3 linked regions of the Alligator mississippiensis genome follow. The main gene of each other region encodes a partner of the protein of the gene in region 3 in a complex. Links are inferred from orthologs where the notes say so. Each region holds a gene or a part of one and is shown on either strand. Other genes may lie near its edges.

Evidence for each region.
Region 1: CHD4 (region 3) and CDK2AP2 share a complex: the UniProt entries of both Homo sapiens proteins name them as parts of the nucleosome remodeling and deacetylase (NuRD) repressor complex. The link is inferred for Alligator mississippiensis from reciprocal best matches to the Homo sapiens genes CHD4 and CDK2AP2.
Region 2: CHD4 (region 3) and MTA1 share a complex: the UniProt entries of both Homo sapiens proteins name them as parts of the nucleosome remodeling and deacetylase (NuRD) repressor complex. The link is inferred for Alligator mississippiensis from reciprocal best matches to the Homo sapiens genes CHD4 and MTA1.

What each region holds. Positions count from the first base shown.
Region 1 is NC_081825.1:170,472,918-170,479,873, reverse strand, and holds the start of CDK2AP2 (cyclin-dependent kinase 2-associated protein 2), read left to right. Parts: upstream 1-3,954; 5' UTR 3,955-4,331; coding exon 4,332-4,446; intron 4,447-6,956. UniProt on the Homo sapiens protein: Acts as a component of the histone deacetylase NuRD complex which participates in the remodeling of chromatin.
Region 2 is NC_081828.1:43,019,343-43,027,292, forward strand, and holds the start of MTA1 (metastasis-associated protein MTA1), read right to left. Parts: upstream 3,003-7,950; 5' UTR 2,750-3,002; coding exon 2,722-2,749; intron 1-2,721. UniProt on the Homo sapiens protein: Transcriptional coregulator which can act as both a transcriptional corepressor and coactivator. Acts as a component of the histone deacetylase NuRD complex which participates in the remodeling of chromatin.
Region 3 is NC_081824.1:243,465,213-243,472,034, forward strand, and holds the start of CHD4 (chromodomain-helicase-DNA-binding protein 4), read right to left. Parts: upstream 3,001-6,822; 5' UTR 2,900-3,000; intron 2,235-2,899; 5' UTR 2,160-2,234; coding exon 2,063-2,159; intron 1-2,062. UniProt on the Homo sapiens protein: ATP-dependent chromatin-remodeling factor that binds and distorts nucleosomal DNA. Acts as a component of the histone deacetylase NuRD complex which participates in the remodeling of chromatin.

The sequences.
Region 1 (6,956 bases), on a different chromosome or scaffold from region 3:
CTACCTTGGGCCCCATGCACCACCCCGGCTGGGTAGCATCCCCAGCCCCAGCCTCAGCTGCTAACCCTGCCCCACTCCCTCCCTCACCATGGGGACCTCAATCTGCCTCCCCACCCCAGACTTATCTGTAGGCAGCTGGGGGAGCTGCTCTCCCCTGCTGCCTGGGGCTGTGTTGCTGGCCACATGCGTGAGTGCACACATGCATGTGGCTCCTCCCATGTCTTGCTTCCCTTAGCCCCAAGCAGCCCCTTGCAGGCTGAAAGGGGAAACCTGCTGTTTCCCACAGTTTTCCACAGCAAATGGAAAACCTGGCTCCCTGCATGCTACTGGGAAACCCAGGACAAATGCTGTCCAGGAGTCAAGCAGCCTGGGACAAGGATTTGACCTTTAAATTTTGGGACTGTCCTGCCCAATTAGGAACGGGTGGTCACCTTAGTTGAGGGACCATATTGTGTGTGGAGCACTAGGGTTGGGAGTGAGTGGAATCCCTGTTTTGTGATCTGGGGAGATGGGACTGGAGATGAGGACAGGTCTATTTTGTGTGTAGGCAGGAAAGGGGGCAGACTAAGCCAAGGTGTACTCTGCACTGGGTCAATCAGTATTAGTTTGTTAATGAAATTTATTGATAACACACTCCTGCTATTTGTGCCAAGGTCATTAAAGAAAATAATTTCAGTCTCAAGACCGATCCTGGAGGCACTCCCTTCTGTTATTCAGCCCAATATTTCCCCTTTCAATGCTACCAGCTGTCATCTTCCCTTTAATCAGGTCCTTACTCACCCAACAGTTCTTGTATAGTATTCATTGCTTTCAGTTTAGCTAATAATTTCCTAGGTGACATTCTTTCAAATGCTTCTCTGAAGTCCAGACAAATGAGCTCTACTACATGTTCTTGGTCTAGAAAGACTGCTATCTTAGTGAAGATGCAGGATGGAATGTTTAAACTTTTGTAAACTCGTATTGTAATTTTTCCCATTTTCCATATAACTAATTTTTAGTCTTCAAAATTAATTCAAAATGCAACGATTAAAATTAATTAAAACATCTTCATATTATTAAGGCCAGACTAACAGATGTGCTGATGAAACTGTAAAGGTGTCTTGCTCAAAGTGTGAATTTGAGCCCTGCTGTGGAGTTGTGCCAAAAGCTGCCAACAGTTGACTTAGCTATAAATAGATACCAGGTTTCTGTGGCTGGGAAATTAAAAGGAGCTGGCAGTGATACTAGCCACATCATTCCCTTGTGTGCTGCTGACTGGAAACTGGCTTGTTTTAACCATGCTAACACAACTAGCCCTTTGACTTGGGCAGAATCTCAACCTAAACAGGCCTCTAGTTGCCCAGGTCACTCCTTTCTCAATAAATACAGGCACTATTTATTTTCTAGCCATAGGATACAATTCTTGATTTGATAGATTAATTACAAATCCTTGCTCCCAGACCTGTGATTGTGGGTGTTGAGTCTTTCAGAATTCCAGGATGCAGACTGCCAAGCCCCCACCCCTACATGGGCACATTGAGCTCTTAGTATTCTGTTTCCCATTCAGCCGTGGTCATTTCCATTTCCATACCCTCTCACCCTGCCTTTGGCTCCACTGTCAGCCTAACTTTCCTTACTGCAAAATGAGAAGTGGGTGCATCTACATGTGCTATAAATGCACTTACTGCACATTAAAAAAGGAGTAGTAAATTGCACCTGGGGAAAAGTCTTACATGTGTGCTGGCAAATTTGCTCCCAACTGGAGCAGGTGAGACAAGGGATGTCCCTGTGCCCCCTCCCCCCTGCCCTGCTCTGCCTTGTTGCAGCAGCCAGGGGGAGCTCCAGGCTCCCCGAGGTGCCAGCTCCCGGCTGGCAAAGGGCAGGGAGCTGGTCCCAATCACCACGTGTAGGGGAAAAGCTGTCCTAGCAGCTGGGACTGCTGAATCCCAGCCACGTGGGGATTGGACCCAAGTGGCTGGGAGAGGGGTGCTGCCTGGCAGCCATATGGGAATCAGGAGGGTCCTGATCCCCACATGACTGGGAGAGGACCCTTCCCATCCCCACATGGCTGTCTCTGCCAGGTGAGGATGTTTCTTCTGGCCATGTGGGGACACCTCTCTCGGTCATGTAGCTATTGGGATCCTGAGTCCCACTTGGCTGGGATGCAGCAGTCCTGGCTGCCAGGACAGCTCTCCCAGCCATGTGGTGATCAGGACAGTCCCTGTCCCTATGTGGCAGGGAGACAGTTGCCCCTGCAGCCAGCACAGCTCCTGCCACATGGGGCTTAGCCTGGCAGCAGTGGGCCCCCTGGTGCCTGGACTGGCCCAGAGCAAATGCTCCTGGCCAGCATCTGCACATGCACTACTGCACAGTGGCTAATGTACACTTGATCTACTACTACATGTATTTTCAGGTAGTAGATAACTGCACATTAGCCTATAATGCAGTAGCTTGGCATATGGATAAATAGTGACACTTTACTACGCAGTAAATTAGTCTATTGTGCAGTAAAGCATCTCCTGTAGACACACCCAGTATTTACTCAGTTTGTGGCCCACATTGCACCCCTCACTGCATACTAGCCACCCCGCTTCTGTCCTTGTTCTCTATTTCTTTTGTTATTTTTCTTAAATGTTGCAATGTCTAACACGTCTTAATGTTTAGCAATTCTCACTTTATTCTTAAATTTCTTAGCTTTCTGGGCTGTTCTGACCATTTATCCCACTTTTTGCAGACTCTGCTTATTCCAAATATCCTTCCTGAGGTGATATCCCTCCTCCCCACTGAATACAAGGTCCAGATAGATGTTTGCATCTTTGAGTTTCTGCACTTGAATTCAATTCCCGGGGCTCCTTAGGCTGGTTGACTTCAAGTGTGCCCTTCTGAAGCAGCCTAGATACAGACTTATTTTATTTTAATTCTTTGTGAATTAGACTGAATCATCTCATGATGATTTGACCTACACTCCCCCTACGCGTCACCAATGCTTCCAAGAGAAATGCCACTGGGAAGCTAAAGACCACAAGGCCTAGGGAGGCTGCAGCACCCACTGTAATGCCCTCTCCTGGAGCCAGCGGTGCTTTCCCTACCTTCCCCCTCACATGAACAGGGAACTCTAGGGATGCAGAAAGAGGTGCAGCTGCCAGCTGTAACTCAAAACGACTTTTGGTTCTGAGTTACAAGCTTACCCCAGACGAAACAGAAGTTCACTGTTGGTTGGGGGGGGATCTAGCTGGAGGCCAGGTTCCCACAGCAATGGCGAAGCTCTGTGCCAGCGTTCACCTTTTCGAGAATGAGAGAGGCGAAAGGCCATGGAGGGAGCTCTTCTTCGGGCTCCCTGGCTGGTGCCAAAGGGTAGAGGTGAATTGGAGCCTCTCCCCGAACCTAGGGGGCCTCCAATACACCTGTCCCACTGGTGTACTCCCTCTGCCCCCTTTCCCCCTCCCGTCCTGAAAACAGCGACAGGCTGGGAGCTCCCAGACACAAGTTACAGAAGACGCTAGTTTGAAAGGTCTTTATCTGATCCCTCCTGCAACAGGGGGTCAGGTTTTCACCAGGCAGGCCGTTTTTGAAGCTGTCTGCAGCCGCGTGCTTGTGTTTGGTCACAGCTAGAAGCTGCTTTCTGTGGCCTGATCAGGCAAAAATGGTCACTTCTCTTGCACCACAGAAAGCAGGCAGCCTCCCGGGGTCCTTTTCCTGCCCAGCGCCCCGGAGCGCCGGCGGGGCGGGCTGCAAGAGCTGCACACGGGCTGGACGCGGAGGAGGCGCAAACACGAAGTGCTGCAGGAGGACACGAAGGCCCTACGCACCGTGCGACACACGACACGAGCCGCCCCGCCCGGCCAGGCCAGGCCAGGCCGCGCCGCAGAGCGTCCCGCTGGTTTCCTTGGAGACGGCGGCGATCGGGAGGCGGGGCGACGTGATGAGGTCACAGAGCGCGGGGGGCGGAGCGCGCAGGCGCAGCGGCGGCGTCACTGCGAGCGGCCAGCCGGGGTCGGAGGCGAGCAGAGCGCGGGTCTGGCTGGCAGCCACGCGCCGCAGCACCGGCCCCACCCAGCGCGAGAGCGCGCCCCGAGCCGGCCAGCGCGGGAGCGCGCCTCCTGAGAGCCGGGCCTGCCTGAGCGCGACCGCGCGCACACACCCCACGCGAGGGCACTGCCGACCCCGCAGCGCCGGGACCCAGCGAGGAGAGCGGGGCAGCGGCAGCCAATCGGGAGCGAGGGGTGAACGGCGCCGGCCAATCGGCGCGAAGCGCCTCGCCGGCCGCCCAATCAGCGTCGCGCGCCGCGGCGGGGGCCGCCGCCAATCCGCGCCACGAGCCGGGAGCCCCGCGCGGCCGTCGCCCGTCGGGGATGTCCTACAAGCCCATCGCGCCCGCCCCCGCCAGCAGCTCCGGAACCGCCGGCGCCAGCAGCAGCAGCAGCAGCGCCAGCCCCGCCGCCCCCGGGCCCGGGGCCCCGCCCGCCGGTGAGGGACTTTCCGCCTCGCGCAGCCCCCGGGCGGGACTGGCCGGGTGGGGGGAGGGGGGTGAAACCTTCGCGAGCCGGAAGTGGCCTCTGGGTCCTAGTGCGAGACGGTGGCTTTGGGGCGGGTCCCGCCTAACCCTGCGGGGGAAACTGGCTCCTGAGACCACACATGGGAACCTGTCTGACCCGCGGCAGGGGGGCAAGCCCCTCCCCCAGGAGCGTCGGGGCTTAGCCCCAGCAGGAGCCCTGGGACGGCCCAGTTTGGTCCACAGCAGTTCTGGGGGAGGTGAGCGAGGTCCCCCCACAGGTGTAGCAGCAGGAGTGGGGAATCCTGCCCAGCCCAGCCCAGCCGCTTGGGAAATACCAGGTGCCTTGCACTGTGCCCAGCAGTTTTGGCCAGCATGTACAATGCCACCCATTGCAGCCTCTCCCTGGGTGGCCTGACCTGCTCTGTCCCTGCCGTAAGCTTGTCCTGACTGGTTTAGCCTTATGTAACTCAGCCAGTCAAGGAGCTCTGCTTCGTTCTGCTGCTGAGCATAGCCTGCTCTAGGCTGTACTGTTCCTCTAGTTATCTCCAGCCAGCGGTGTATGTCGGGGAGCTTCTGGGCTTCTAGCTGGTGCTCTAAAAGCACCCTTGGGCGTAGCTAGATCATCCCTGTCCAATGATTGTCTCACCTGTTCTTGAACCCCTCCTGTGAAGGAGAGTTCACAGCTTCCCTAGGCAGTCTGGTTCATTGCCTCACTGGTCTAACAGAGAAGAAGTTGGAGTGATGTGATGTAGTCGCCAAACAAGAAAATGCAGTTTGAAACAGGGCACACCTTCATGCCAAAGGCAGGAAAGAAATGCCATCACTCAATGTTGTCTGGGGCGAGGGGCTCCCTTACCAGGGGTAAAGGATAGCTGATGGTGGGTGACTTGACCTGCTGCTAATTGGCCAGCAGCTGAAGCTGTTGCCTTGTGGGCCTTGGTCACCAGGTACTGCTGTGGCCCATAGGACATGTGCATAAGCTTGTGTCCCCCAGGAGCAAGCAGTGCTGCTCCTCTGCCATGAATTGAGAAGGAAAGCTTCGTCAGACCAACATGGTGTCTTGGTTTCTTTCAGCATCCGTGCACTGTTTGTGCCTGGCTAGGCGTATGTAATAGGGGCTCCTGATCCTTATTAGTTGAGTGGAGTGAATGCAGTGCCACAGAGGGCAGGCTGTGGGGGCAGCTTGCAAAGAAGCTGGCTGCAGAGCTTTAACCCTTTATGGAAAAGCAACCTGCACATGCAGGCCATGGAGATGGGCTCCAAAAAATAAGTTTACTAATTAGTGAAGAGGATGCCCTATGCCTGGTTCTGAGAGTTAGAGGTCAGGTGACCCAAAGGGAATGGAGCCTAGGGCAATATAAGACTGGCTTTTAGGTTGGAGGGGGCTTTCTGGCCCAGACCTTGAAGAGAGAAGGATCTCTGCAGAGGGTCTCATAGATGAGTTGTTTTTGTTTCTCTTTCAGTTTATATTAGCTGTGAGGCATGGGGTGGCTAGAGGGGAAGAGTGGAGGCTACAAGCGAGCATCTTAGGGAGTGTATTGTTGAGTGTTTTGGTTTGGAGAAGGTAGTAGCCTTGTGAAGCCATGGCAAGTACCTAGAGAGGCCCTGTGAGTTTAGTTCATTGGAGCTGGGTGGAGACTGCAGGCCCAAGAGAGGGATATAGGTTAAGGGTAGAAACTGGCTTGAGACTGAGGACTGGTAAGTATTAAACAGAGGGAGACAAAGGGTTGGACTGATTGGCAGCCTGATGATGAGGAGAGCAGAATGAAGTGCTCTAAGGCCTGGTCTTGTGTTGCAAGGGCAGCTTTCCATATTTGTATTTATTTTCCAGCCAATGAGGATAGGACGATATCCTGTTCCTCAGTCTAGTTCCCCAGGATAAGTAGGGCTGTCTTCAGAGGCAGGGCAGCTTTTGGATTGGGCCTGAGAATATTGAGAGGTATCCTCCTTGCACCAAGGTGCAACAGTAGAAGGCCAAGACTCACTGCAACCCTAGTGTCCCAAAGGACTCTGGGAGACATTTTGTAGGGAGCTGTCAAGTGAGATTGAGTTAGTGGGGCAGAGGTGACATGCATTGCTGTAGGAAGGCTGGGGCAGCCTGAAGCTGGGCAGGCCAAGGATGGAGAAAGTGAGTTCAGCTCATGTGGTGGTGTGGGCTAGGCACAGGGAGGGCTGTGCCACAATCTCAAGCCATGGCCCATCCTGGGCTGAACTATACAACAGGGCAGAAAAAAGATGTCCCACTCGGTGAGTTTCTCTGACTCACTTCCCGTGTGAGTCAGCAGTCTGGGAGGAAGGTGGGTGCAGGCTGGGATGGCGGTGTTGAGAAACAGCTGTAGCAAGCTGAAGGGGTACTGTGTTGGGTGGACAGGTCCAGGAGGAGCACCTAATATTAGGGCTGATTTCTGAGTTGGGCAGTGGATCTAAGATCAGGCTGTGAGGAGGAGGCTCTTGAAAGGAGGTGGCTCTTCTGCAAGGCAGG
Region 2 (7,950 bases), on a different chromosome or scaffold from region 3:
ACCTTGGCAGCTAGATTAAAGCTTGCATTGGTTTGCCTTCCTGCCCTGCAATTGCAGTTTCCATTTCTGTGTAGACACACTTTTACAGACTCAAAACAAGGGCTCTTTATTCTGTATTCAGGTTTAATAATAAAATAAGGGAATTCTTTTAACTCCAGACCATGTGAGAAGCTGCCCACTAACTTTCATCCAGAAGTAGGCTGGAAAAGGAAGTTTACTGATAAGAGTATCTATTTGTTCTCTTGGAGGCCCTGACAATATCCTCCTGAATAGGTAAAATCCCAATCCCACAACAGTGAATTTACATCAGAGCACATTAGTAGCCAGAAGGGGCAGAAGTCCAAGCAGCAAGTCCCAAACCAAAGCTCCCCAATATATTCAGAGGTCAGTTTTGCCCAACACAACATTCCTAGAGATGCAAAATCCAAACAGATACCGGTGATCACACAGGCAGCCAATTCAGTGCAAAGCCACTCAAACCTGCCTAAAACAAAGATGGAAAATACACATTTGATTGTTTCCAAAAGCAGCCCATATTCATACTCCTGTGAATGTTTGGTGAAGAAAAGCATCTCTGTTATAGCTAAGAGACATGATCTGAAAAGTTTAGAACGAGCAGTCAAATTCGGCACTTGATTTCTGCAACTGATGCTCTGACCTCCTTTTCAAGTTGCCATTCATCTATAAACCAAGGTGATCTGCAAGCGTTGTACATGTATACATACAATATACATTTAGGAAATATAGCATCCATATTAGAGCGCAAAACAGAGTTTCCTGAAAGGCACTGTAGGTCCTGTAAGTCCCTACAAGAGTTGTCTACCAGCCAAACAGGGAAAAAATGCCGTGAGAAAGATAAGACTCAACTGTTAGTTCTGGAGGACAGATAAACAGATTTCACAGGTCAACAGGAACAAAGCTATGGCCCAGACCACGAACAAATCCCTGGCAACAGTTTGCACAAGCGTATGACCATACCACAATAAAATAATGTTCAGCACAACTGCTGTCAAACTAACTTCCAAACTTGGTTTTAAGAGTTATTACCATCTACATTTACTGAGTCAAAAAAACAGCCTAGTATAGGCCTACGATCACTAGGGCAGGTACTGGTTGATTCATACATGGGTCATCATCCATACAAGCACCAAAGTATCTCAGGAGGACAATATGACTGGGTGACCAAAACAACTACAGGCTTCCCTTGCCAACCACTAGCCATTCAGGTTAGATTCCTGAAAGTTCCTGTGGTAGGCAAGACAAAAGGCATATATGAAAAATGGCAGGGGGCGGGCCGATACGCAGCCGTGGAAAACTGGGGTTACTTAGAACTGTATACCGTTTTGGCTACCACAGTATACAGAATTTTAAGCGTGGAGACTCAAAACCATGGTTGGCGAAGGAAACCTGTAGTCAATATATCATCAGAATCAAGATGGTCTATTCACAGCTGCTCATGACCTAATCACATCTTGTGTGCACCCATCTCCTGTGCGAGTTACAACAAAGTTTGAAGCAGAAAGGTACTTGTTTCCAAACTCAGGGGCAACCAACACAGCCTCCTACTTCTAGTCACACTCAACAGAGTAGTCATCTAGAAATAGTTCCATCATCCCTGTAGGTCTTGGCAACATGACAAGTGAAGGTTTCATCCACATGTAAGTTAACAGAGTGGTAATCACGATAAATAGTCTTTGCCTTGAACAGCATGGCCTACAGAGCAGCTCTCTGTCTTCCAAGCAAAGCAAAGCAACACCTTAGAGACTAACTCATTCAGTTACTAAGGTGCCACCCTGCCCTGCCTTCAGACTAACAGGGCTAACTATCGCTCTAAGCCAATACAACTAGAGAGACTGGTACTCACTAACAGAACAGCCAGGCCCTCAGAAACCCCGTTTACAAACTGCGACAAGAAACGAGCCGAAAGCCAGCAAAACTTCTTGTTCTTCACCGTCCAGGTCTCAAGCGTCTCCAATCCATGGCAGCGGCGCTCAACCCTCGCCACCATCTTCCCAGTGGCCCAAGGGGCAAAGTCATGGCAACCAAATTGTAGTACGGTCTCATCATCAAGCCAAAACGCAGCCAGGAGGAAGGTATCCATGTCCTGGCATTTCACGGAGGGCCAGGCAACAGGGAGGTGCAACAAGTTGCACAGGGAGAGCCATATCCATGAGCAGGACCGGGAGGACAACAGCAAGCCCCCGTCGGGGCTGGGGCTGCTGCAACTTCCTGCCGCTCTCCCACCTGTCAGGTTTTCTTTGTTAAATCTACTCTAGTCCATCTCCCCACCCCAAGAGAGCGAGCGCCACAGCGCACTCGGGACCCCCGCGCCCTGGGGCCGAAGCAGTGCAGGGGTCTCCGATTCCCCCCGCCCGCCGCCAGCCTGAGACGGGCTCCGCGACCAGCTCCCCCGAGGGAGCGGGCGGAGGGCCGAGGCCGCCCCGAAAGCTCGGCCTCACCGCGGGGCCCGTGCTCGCCCCGGGCCAGCGCCGGCCAGGATGCGCAGGGCGGGGGCGGCAGGCAGCACACACCCGCGCCCCTCCAGCCAGCGCTGCCCCGGCCCTCTCTCTTCGCCCCCCAGCCCCGGGACATGCTCCAGCCTCACGCACCCCCGGCCCGGCCCGTGACGCCGCCGCACACGGGGAGGAGCGGCCGGCCAGCCGGCAGGCGGGAGAGAGAGAGGCAGGTAGGGGGCCGGGGCCCCTCCGCGGGGACTCTTACCTCCGACCCGGTACATGTTGGCGGCCATGCCCGGGCGGGGAGCGCGGGGGCCCGGCCCGCTCCCACCGCCGCTGCCTCCAGGTGCCGGAGCCGCTGGAAAATGGAGGCTGGAGCGGCCGGGAGGGGGAGGGGAACGAGGGAATTAAAGGGGCCGCGCCGGCCGCCGCCTCCCCCGGCCGGCAGGGAAGGCGAGGCGAGGCGAGGCGAGGCGAAGCGAAGGGAGGGCCGGGCCGAGAGAGGGCTGGCACTCGGGCGGGGTGGAGGTGATGGTGGCGGCGTCGCGAGGCCTAGGCCGCCCTGCCTCGCCCCGCCCCACCTGACCCGCCCCGCCCCGCCCCGCCCCGCCCCGGGAGCGCGGCGGCCCGGCCCGGCCCGGCCCTGCTCTGCTATGCTCTGTTCAGCGCCGAGAGCGGGCTCTGCTGGGCCTCGGCCCCGGCGGGTGGGGGGCCCTCCCCGCCCCGGGTCTGCCAGGCCCCCGGGGAGGCAGGCGGGCTCCTGGCCTGGACCGCGCAGGTGCCACCCACCGCCCTGGGGAACCCCGTTTGAACCCGCTGGGTGGCTGGGGCATGGGCACCGGGCTGGTCCCACACAGAGCACCGCCTGCGCCATCTCTGGCCTGACCCCATCCCACGTTAAAGCCCCGCACCAAGCGACTTCCTACTGCTGAACAAGAAACTGCCCGTAGCGAAACAAAGGATCCAGGCGCAGGAGCCTTAAAGCCGCTTGTCTGAGGCCGTGGTTACACCAAGCCAGGCCCCGGTTGCTTAAGCCCTTCTGGCGGTGGTCGCGGCCACAGGAAAGCGCAGTTAAAACCGAGCTTGAGATGGACAGCGACAGGGACCGTTTCCTGCCGCACGCAGCCAGGGCAGGATGGCTACTGCACCTCAACAACACGCAGGCCCCCAGCTTCCTAGCTTCTGGGTTTAAGGTCACACCTTTCTTTCAGTAAAAACAACACTAAACATTAGAAAAATTAAAGGTGCCTCCCTCATTCCCCTGTTAGGCCTTATCCCAGCCTTGAGGGTTTTGGCCAATCAATTCGCTCCAGGAGGAGCGGGAATCACAGTTCACTAGGGTTGTGGTTCAAGTGCCATCGCCATTAGGCGAGAGGCAAGGATTCCTCGGGGCGACATCTTTTATTGAACATGCTGCATAGCTGGGGTAGAGTTAGACCAGGATTCAAATGCAAGACCTCCAATAGGTCTCTAGGCTTGTCTAGCTGTATCCCAACTATACAGTTAAGTCCAATAAGAGATGTCATCCTAAGAAATCCTCGCCTCTTGCATAATTCCTTGACCATCACAGCTACAACATCACTCTAACACTACCGCTGCTAAAAGGAGCACCCGTCAAGTCTGCTGCACGTGGAGCTGGCTGGTGGTAGTTGCTGCTCCTTCTGTGCTGAGTTCCTTAACCAGTGTGGACGACACAGAAACTCTGTACCATTACGTTCGGTGACAGCAGCTGGTGTTGTCCAGTACTTCCCATCCAATTTTAATAGGGCCGAGTGTCCAGGTTTATCTTCAAGTAAGCTTTAGGCAGCATTCTGACAGTTAAAGAAGAAAGCCAAAAGATGTCTTTGGAGTCAGCACCCTAGAGCTTTTGTATCCTTTAAACTAGGATTACTCAAGCCTAAAATGTACTTCTGAGGTTAGAGCCTTGTTTTTCAACTGACCTGAGGTAACTCTTGTGACTGAAGCAGACATGGCTGTGGAGCTCAGAGCTAGCGTTGAATTTTTTATTTTTTTTTTGTAGACTTTTCTTAGTAATATAATATACAGCTTTCTCTGGTATTACATTCCCTGGGGGAAGGCTAGAATTAATATTGAAATTGTTCTATAATCACCATAAGTTGAAATTCAGGGCTGGCAAATATAATCCATTGTCAGCAACCATTTTTCAGAGGTCAAACTGGAAAAAAAAAGTCTTCTAACTTTCCCTAAGCCCTTTTGGCTTACAGGTTTAATGAGAAGTAGCATTTTTATAAAGCTAGAAAAAGTTAATGGTTATTGACCAGACCTGCCTCATTTCCTCCTTCTCATCAAAGGAAGTTATTCGAATTGCCTTTCTTTCAGATCACTCAAGATTTGCATGTTTTTACCTTCATTTTAGGCCCTGTGGTGTATTGGGTCAGCACACTAACATCCAGGCTAACACTAGTATTTTTGAGGTCCTGCTACTCCTTATGCAGTCTTTACAACAGGTCACTCTGCAGGGACTGTGGGATCACAGTACAAATACTATAGGTAATCAAACTTTTCTCTTTACAGAGTTAAACTCTCATTAAATAGATGTCACAGACTGCATGGTAAACCCCTGATACATAATCAAGCCAATCTTGTTTGAAAACTTTGGAACCGGCTTGCAGAGACAGACCAAACAGCTATTTTAATCGGTTCTTTTTTTTTTTTCTGGCAAGAGTGAGCAGAAACTCTTTTACATATATGGCCTCTGGAGAGGTCAGATCATAAAATAGGGCTCTTCGAGAAAGCGTAACCACTTTTACAGGCTCTCTAAAAGATTGGCAACTGCTTCAGTATGTATTATAGCAATACACTTGAAAGTTAAACCCATGAGCAATCTCTGGCATTTAAGATGCGTTTTGTCTGTTTGTGAGGGTACAAGTGGTTTGTGCTCCATCACCAACATGAAATTATTAAATGTTTTCAAATATCCTACAAATTACTTGTGCGTTTGTTAATCAGAAATTCTCTCTGTTTCAGCATGGCTTCTCTTGGAGTCTTCATATGCAATAGTCAAGATTTCCAAAGCTTTTTAAAATGTTTACCTCTACAAATGCAAAAGGGCTAAATCCTCCATTGTCTTTGAAAATCTCAACCAATAGTTTTCTGAATAGCGTTCCAGCCACTCATCTTCCATTAATCTGTGCAACTAAAGCACAAACTTACCAAGATCATAGCTGCTGGTTTCTACTGAAATAGCTACAAACCTGGAAGCATCATCAAATAGCACTATTGGGGATACAGTAAGTAGATGCATCAGACCCTCAAAAACACATTCCTTTACCTTATCTCAGGTTTGCCTTCATTGTTTTATGCAAATAACTACAAACGTGCCTTTCAAGGGTTCCAAAATCTAGCAATTACTGAGACATAATACCATTTCTATTTTCACAGCGATGGCCTTTCAGCTGTGGCTTTGATTTCTTTTGTCACTGCCCTAACCCTTTCTTTATCAATCAATATAACTAGTTTGCTGGAACATACATCTTTATCAGTTTAGCTTTAGTCAATTATCTTCAGTTGCCCTCTAAATTTACTTTAGCTTTAAGTTGAGCTTAATAGATTCCGTTCAACTACAATGTCATCCACAAACTCCTTTGCTTCAGGCCCCAATGAATCTAATTTCCATGCAGAAGATTTCTGAGATATTTGTGACACTGAACAGGAAACAGTGAAATTCACTGTGCCAACTGATGACACTGCCTGCTTGCCATTACTAGGGTAGAACAGCACTTAACAGAAATCTTCAGCTACATGCAATAAGGAGACTACTGTTGCACAAGATTATTTGGAGAGGAAGCCAGTAATTCTCCCAACTGATGCATCTATTTTGCAGTGTTTTGAGGGCAAAACCGTGTTAATTGGGAGTCTTCAAGTGGCTTGAAGCTGGGGTAGAGACTCTAATGCCAACCTCCATCCCAGATTCACAAGTTCAAAGTCATTCTAGCAACCCTCAGCAGTGAAGACAATTTCATAAACTAAAGGCAGCAGGGTATAATTTACAGGAATTCTGGGACTGCTAGAAGTTGTACCAGGAACAGAAGTGACCCCAGTCAGCAATGGGATAAAGATGCCACTATTCTTCCCTTAATCTCCCCCTCTCTGGTCTTTCACCAAATGAGAATTTCTCTCTCTTCCACTGCTGTTTTCATAGACATTAGGGCTGGAAGGGACCTCAGAAGATCATCGAGTCCAGCCCCCTAACCCAAGGGACAGGAAGTCAGCTGCGGTCATAGGATCCCAGCAACTTAAGCATCCAAATTTCTCTTGAAGGCATTCAGTGTAGGTGCTTGAACCACCTCCCATGGCAGGCTATTCCAGACCTTGGGGGCTTGGACAGTAAAGAAATTCTTCCTTATGTCCAGCCAGAAATGGTCTTGCAGTAGTTTATAACCATTTGACCTCGTCATCCCTTGGGGCGCTCTGGTGAACAATCATTCCCCCAGGTCCTGGTGAACACCCCTGATAAACTTATAGCTGGCCATCAGGTTGCCCCTCAGCCTGAACTTTTCCAGGCTAAAGAGCCCCATAACTCTCAGCCTGTCGTCATAAGGTCTGTTTTCCTGACCTCTGATCATGCACGTGGCTCTTCTCTGGACTCTCTCAAGCTTCTGCACATCCTTTTTTAATTGTGGAGCCCAAAACTGGACACAATACTCCAGCTGCAGCCTCACCAAGCCTGAGTACAATGGGAGAATGACGTCCCAGGATTTATTTGAGAAGTATCTCTGGATGCAAGCCAGTGTTTTGCTCACTTTACTAGCCACAGCATCACATTGAAGGCTTATGTTCATCTTGTGGTCAATCATGACCCCCAAGTCCTTTTCATTCATAGTACTAGCCAGCGTAGCACTGCTGAGCCTATAAGGTTGCTGCAGGTTTTTCCTCCCAAGGTGGAGAAACTTGCATTTTTGGTGTTGAACACCATCAGGTTCTCATTCACTCATTTCCTGGGCCTGTCAAGGTCAGCCTGGATCACTCTCCTGTCCTCAGGTGTGGATGCTTTACCCCAGAGTTTGGTGTCATCGGCAAACTTGGCCAGTCCGCTTCTGACTCCAATGTCCACATCATTAATGAAGATGTTGAAAAATACAGGTCCAAGGACAGAACCTTGGGGGACCCCACTGGTCACAGGGCACCATGGCGATTGACTTCTGTCAACCACCACCCTCTGGGTCCGACCACAGAGCCAATTCCCCAGCCAGTGGATCATGGTGGACCCGAGGCTGCAGTTGACCAGTGTTGCCAAGAGGTGATCATGGGATACCAGATTGAAGGCTTTTTTGAAGTCAAGATATACGATATCAATCTCCTCTCCCTTGTCCAGGTGACAGGTAGGTCACCTGGTCATAAAAAGAAATGAGGTTGGTCAAGCAAGACCTACCCGCAACAAACCCATGCTGGCTATCCCTCAGGATATTGCCATCAGCTAGTCTGTTAAGGATGGCCTCTTTGACAATCTTTTCCAAGACCTTCCCCAGGATAG
Region 3 (6,822 bases):
GAAACAAGTCTGGCTAGTCAGATTATGCCACACTGAATAAGAGAGTAATAGCTCCAATACACCCTGTGTTCCCTCCTTATCATCCCCCCCGCCCCCGCAAAAAATCACTATCCATCCCCTCTTTTTGTCTCAGTGACACTTTTCTGAGCAGAGCCACATGAAATATTTGAGGATTAGAAAGTTCTTTAGCTCAGCAGACATAGCAAAGATTGAGCAAGTGGGCTGCCGAGTCCTGCAGATGTGGCCAGCAAAGTGGCACAGGAGAAAAGTGGGGGGAGGGAAAAGGAAGAGAGAGAGGGAGCCACACCTTGGTCTTTGGGATAGACAGACTACAACACAGCAGAAAGTCCAAGGACCAGCTAGGCTGGAATCAGAGCATGGGCTCCATCCCAAGATCTCCCATAAAAATGTTTTCAGCACAAGAGACCCTGCAATGGCAAGCAAAGATCAAAACTGTCATCTGCTGCTTGCCTCTCTCCCACCTGCATAGTTGCTGCTTAGGGCAAACTCGCTGAAATCCAGTGCAACAGGATCCACAAACCCTTCTTCAAGCACAAGTCAGCAAGCTCAATCCCTCATCACTGTAATGCATTGCCAGCTCCCCCACACACTCCCATCTGTTCCCCCTCCCCCCACACAAAGCCCAGAGGAGCATGGACAGCCAGACAGCTTTTTCCTTTGTGACAAGATCCATAGCAGTCCAACCATTCGCCTTCCCCTGCCGCCCCGCCCATTACAGAGTCACTCGCTCTCCCTCCAAGGGAAAATGGCCTCCTGACCACAGGAGCTAAGCCAGATGGGGGAAGCCACAAGTCACAACAACCAAAGGACAAGAGAGAAAGGAAGTGCTCAGCCTGGGATCCTGTATCTTTGGGCAGAGAGAGTATTCTTGCCACATTTCTAATTGACATAAGTATGCCTTCATCCAGCAACATTTACTGAATCCTACCCACAAGTGTGGGCTCCATAATCTACCCCTCCAGCAAGTTCTGATTTAGAACTGTCTGATGTCCCTACACCATTTAGTACATTGCCCAAGCTTCTTAACTTCCCAGTGACTTAACCAATGAGGGGCCTGGCCCCGACCCTAACAAGGCTTCCTTTTCCTAGGCTCACAGATACCCTCTTCAGGAGGAGATGCTGGAACACCATTTTTCAGCTTCTTTCCATTGCTTCACTCTCACCCAGTCCCTCGAGATTTCTCCAGAGCTCTGCAGCTACTAGGAGGACCCCAAAAACAAACTGGCCATAATAAGCCATACCATGGCATTCTGTTGACAAGACTTTGCTGCCACCTTTCACCTATGGCGTGAAAAGGCAGTTCAGAAGCAAATTCAGGCTCATGTTTTACAACCCACTACTCCAGGATACACATTCATCCTTGTTTTACAGGTTGAGAGAAGAGGTAGAGATCTATACAGTAACAATGCTGGGAATGAAGTAGCAGTTATAAATCCCAGTCTCTTTAGCTCTCAGTCTCTGTGTGAGGCACGTGGACTACGTTTACAAAGAAGAGGCAGATACAGGGACTGCAGGTTAATACACCAGAGGATTGCATCCTACAACCACACTGCAGTCAGTACGTCTACTGCAACAAAGAGAGGGCTAAGGGGAGCAGCAGAGCAGGATCCAGGAGAAGCTGAGAGAACAGGGTGTGGTGGGTAAAGAAACTGGGTCATGCAATAGCCCAGGGCAGTTTGCTCTGGACGCTAGCAGGTCTAAGCTCCCAAGTGAAGAAGTGCAAACCCGACACCCTGCCCCAACGCAGAATCCTCCCGCCAGCCATGAAGTGTGCACCTTCTAGAGGCGGTGGGTGGCTCCATCAGGGTACATGTTCCCACCCACCAGCAACAGCTTGCAATGAGAAACTTCACCTCACTGAACTGCAGGACCAGCCGCTCTTAAAAACAACCATTAAGGCCCAAATATTCCAATCAGACGCGAAATCCTCCGAACAATACAAGTTTCTCCTGCCACTGTCTCCCACAGCACCACTGACTTGACCAAGACAGAAGAGAGCCACAGCTTGCCGCAGCAGAGATCCTGACAGTGCTATCCATACCTGGATGCTGAGGAATACTGTTGTTCAGCAGGATCTCCATCTCATCATCATCGCTACCAGCAGAGCAGGGTGACAGCGGACCAATGCCTGATGCCATGTCTTCCCAAAGCAGGGACACCAGGGCTTACACAGCTCGTGCAGCCTTGTCTCCTTCCTCCTGCCCGTCAGCTTCCTGAAAAGGGAGAAGGAAAGTAAGTTACAGCAGCCGGCAGGAGACCCACCCTGCAGAGAAGGGATTGCCCCCCCGCAGCACGTGGGGAGCGGACTGGAGAACTGGGAAGGGGGCGGCTGCGCGCGGGTACCAGCCCCCATCCTCCCCCGGCAACGAAGCCGAGCAGCAGAGTCCTGCCTGGCGGGAGCCGCGCCACGGCCCGGAGGGGACGCCTGGGGCCGGCGGGCGCACGCCTGCCTGCCAGGGCCGGCTCTGCCTGTCGACGAGAAGGCGGCCTGGGCCGGGGCCAGCGCCAGGGGCCCGGGGCAGCAGCCGCGCCAGTCGGCAGGCCCGGCCCACGCCTCCAGTCCCCGACCACGCCGTGCCGCGCCGGCCCAGGGGGCTCCCCCGCCCGGCCCTGGCCCCGGCCCCGCCCCCGGGGCTGCCCCTAGCGGCCGGCGCGGCGTGGCCGGGGGACAACAAAGGCCGCGTCCAGGCCGGCGGGGGCGGGCGGGGCAGGAGGCGCTCGGGTGCCGCGTCGCGGTGGGGCCGGGGCCGGGCGGCAGGTGCGCCCCGTGCAGGCTGGGCCGGGCGCGGGGCCCCACGGGGCGCCGGGCGGGCACGCGAGGGACCCGGGGCGGCACCCCCTGCCACCCCCCCGGCCGCGTCTTCTCCCGGCTCCTCACCCAGTCCCACTCGCCGCCGCTGAAGGGAAAATGGCTCCTGCCCCGGTGCCGCCTCTTAAAGGGGGGAAAAAAACCCCAGCCAGGCCCCGCCTACTCTCACCTCCATCCCATAATATGCTCCGGCACCTCGGCAACGAGCCCCGCCCCTGTCACCCGGGCAACCAGACATCCCATAATATTTACCCTCCACTCAGAACTCCCCACTCACTTGCCCGGCCTTGCATCCCATAATAATCAACTCCCCCCCTTTCCATCAGGAACATCCCATAATAGAACCCTTCCTCGGAGAAACATCCCATAATATACTCCCCACACTCTAACCCCTTCACTCCAACATCCCATAATACTCCTTTGCACCAACCCACGATAATGCCCCCTGCCTCACCCTCACCCTCCCTCCCCGAGACATCCCATAATAACCTCCACACTCTCCCCCCCACAGACCTCCACCTCCACCCCCCACCAACCCATAATAGTTCCTCCCCCCCACCTACACATCCTGCGGTAACCCCCCGCCCCCTCACGGAGGTATCCTGTCACTGCCTGGCCTGGCATCCCATAATAAGCCCTGCCCCCTCTTCAAGCCCCCTACTACCAGGTGCCACAATAGCCCCATAACATCCCATAATAGTCATGCCCCCTGATATGTATCCCATAATAGTCACCTTCTCCACCTCCTCCCCCACCCATGCTGCGTTCAGCCAGCCATCCCATAATAGTAGCCGGGAGCCACGGTCCAGCCCGGCATCCCATAATACTCTCAGCAACTCTTAGCCACAACCCACAATACTCGCACTCACTGCCCGCTCCCTCACTCCAGCCAAGCAGCCCATAATAATCGCATTCATATGTCCCCCCTCCATGCAGGCGGACCAGGCTGAGCAGGGTGCCAGCTAACAGCCCACGGTACTTGGGCCCCTCCACTGCCCACCAACCTCCTTGTACCCCTGACCGCTCACTTCCAGGCCCCCTCCCCGCCTTTGTATGTGGAGCATAGTAACCACTGGGGGCACGGGGCCAGCCTGCAGCCCATAATACTCTGGCATAGCCTGCCAGGATTCTTTATGCCTCCAGATGATGCAGACTCCACATACCCCAGAGTGCTCAGCGCCCCTCCAACACGCACCCAGGCAGCGAGCCCATGCTAGCTGACCTCCAGGCACACGTCTCACAGTCATCAGCTCACCCACTCTTCAAAGGGAGTCCAGCATCCAGCACTGCACCCACAAGGCATGGCAGCCCATGGTGCAGAGCTGTGCCTGTGAACCACTACCAACCTCATGTCCCATTGTGCTAGCCTCTTCATGGCTCAGGACAAGTGTAGTGGCTTCTTAACCTGGCAGGGGAAATATCATATATCTGTGTCCATGAAGGCAGTTTTCCTGAACCACACCCCGGGAGAACTGCTCTTCTGGCGTGGTTCAGTACCTGCTGAGGTGCAGTGGCTTTAAGCCCACTTTATGGAAATGGGAGTCTCCTCCCTTGCAACCAAGGGCCTTCTGGCTAAAGGCAGGCAAAACTCAGGGACATCCAAACCCCAACTCTCCAGGCTTGGGCCTGCAAGTAGGATGCCTACCAAAGGATTTGGAAACATCTGAAGCCCGAAGTGTGGGTGGAGTAGAGCCACTGATGGTTCTGGACTCTTGGATCTGGAATTAGTTTTGGTTAATTTGGCCTCGGCTATAAATTAAAAACAAACAAATGAACAAAAATACCCTCTCCCATTATGCTAGCTGCTCCTGGCCACAGACACGAGCATCCCATCATGCTAGAAACATGGCTGTGCCATAATGGTATCCTGCTTCCTCCCAGTATACACACAGACTGCCCATGATAGCATTTCTTGTTCCTTGTACACTCCAGCATTCATCGAGTGCTTCTGTGTGTATGTGTGTGCACGCGCACATGCATGTTTGTTGTTACGGACATCCCATATTACTGTTCACACCTTTCATTCCCTATACAAACATCTCGTATTGTAATTCTTCCCTTCCTTCTGTTATCCCATGGTACATACTGGCATGCTACTTACTTATCCCTCCCAGTATATGCAGAACACCCTACTTCCCCTTCACAGTGCACACAGATTTCCCAGAATGCAATCCCAACTCTAATCACTTTATTTTATACATGTAAATGCTCTAAGAATATTTATCCCAGGTCAGGCACACACAGCCCATAATACAAGGCATCCTTCCATTATAAACAGTGGCACTCATAAAACTCCCCATATCCCAATTACACACAGACATTTTTCCTGTTTATAGGCTTGAGACACTTTAGAGTTTTCGGTTTTTGGTTGTAGCCGTGCTGGTCTAAGGACATAAGCAGACAAGGTTCTTTGGGCAGATGTGATATCTTTTATTAGACGCTTCATAGCATTGTCCTTTCCTTACTAGTCATACTAATCATCACTTTATAATGACATGGGCATTCCATAAAAATACAAATAACCCAATAATACATACTTTCGTACAATATAATTAATCCCTCATCATACAAAGTGACATCCCATTAAATATATCAGATCTTCATTGTACTTATTGATGTCCCATAATATTAACCGCTCCAGTTTACCAGGACATTCCACAACTCCCAGTTATTGAGGCAGACATTCCATATTGTCCATCCTACTCGTTACATACATGGTCATTGCATAATGTTACCCATCCTCCATTACATCATGCTATTCATCCTTCCTCCTCCCCCATTACGTGCACAAATGTCCCACAATTTTACCCATACTGTATCTGAAGCACATGAATCCTCAGGATACTGCTGAAGGCCTTCATGTTACACACACTGCCACACTGCAGTACAAACTGTTCTTCATCCCACACATCACATAATACTACCTATACACACATTATATGCACAGATTTTCCCTACCACTGTCTCTTTCCTGCCACTATATGCGTGGACATCCCATCAGGCTAGCAAACCTTTCACTATATATATATATATGGACATTCTATAATAGGACCTTCGTTGTTAGCATGTACATTTGATAGTATTATCCATCTTTGATTATACTTAATTGCACCCATTATATGCTCCAACATCCTGTAACTATAAGAACAAATTCCCTTACGTGATCCATCTCAGCCAGTTCCGTGCACATCCTTCTTATATTATTACCCAAACTTGATTTTACACCCCAAATACTATTACACTGTTCACCTTCTTCTTGTACATATATAAGTCCCATGACACTCTATTCATCTGTGTAATCAATATACACGTACAGCACAGGTCTTCACCTCACTGTTTTCTCCCTTGCATAGTGATAATAATATTATTCTTTATCTAAGGATCTACAGATTAAAGCTGTTGTATAAGCACTAAGACTTATTATTAACATGAATACTATGCATCTTCCATTCTATACATAAATATATGTGATACTGTCATCAAGTATAGATACGTACATCTTCTAATAACAGCAGCATCCATTCCCTACATTTTATACACAGACATCAACAATGTTTTTCATTCCCTCATTTACCTACTGACTTCACATAATACTCTCTATTAAGGTTGTGATTTGTTGAAGAGATCTGTGTAACTCCATGGTAAACAGGCAGGCCAGCCCTCTGCACAGTTAGTTATTATAGAATTCCAGATATACCCATAAGATCTTAGCTTCTAGGGGTGTGATCAACAAGTTAAAAAGTAACATTCTGGCAGAGGTTGAATAAAGCCAGTTACCAGAGTTGGTTTCATGTATACTTTGTAACAATCTCCCTCTTAGGGGCTTTGACCTGGAGTGGGCTGTGTGCTACTCTGGTATAATGTAAATCAAACAGATATACAACAAATTCATGGGTAAAATATTTCCATTTTCCACACATTTTCCATTTAGCTAACATTCACTGAAATCTTTCATTATTCTGAATTCAAAACATTAGTATGGTTTATATTTT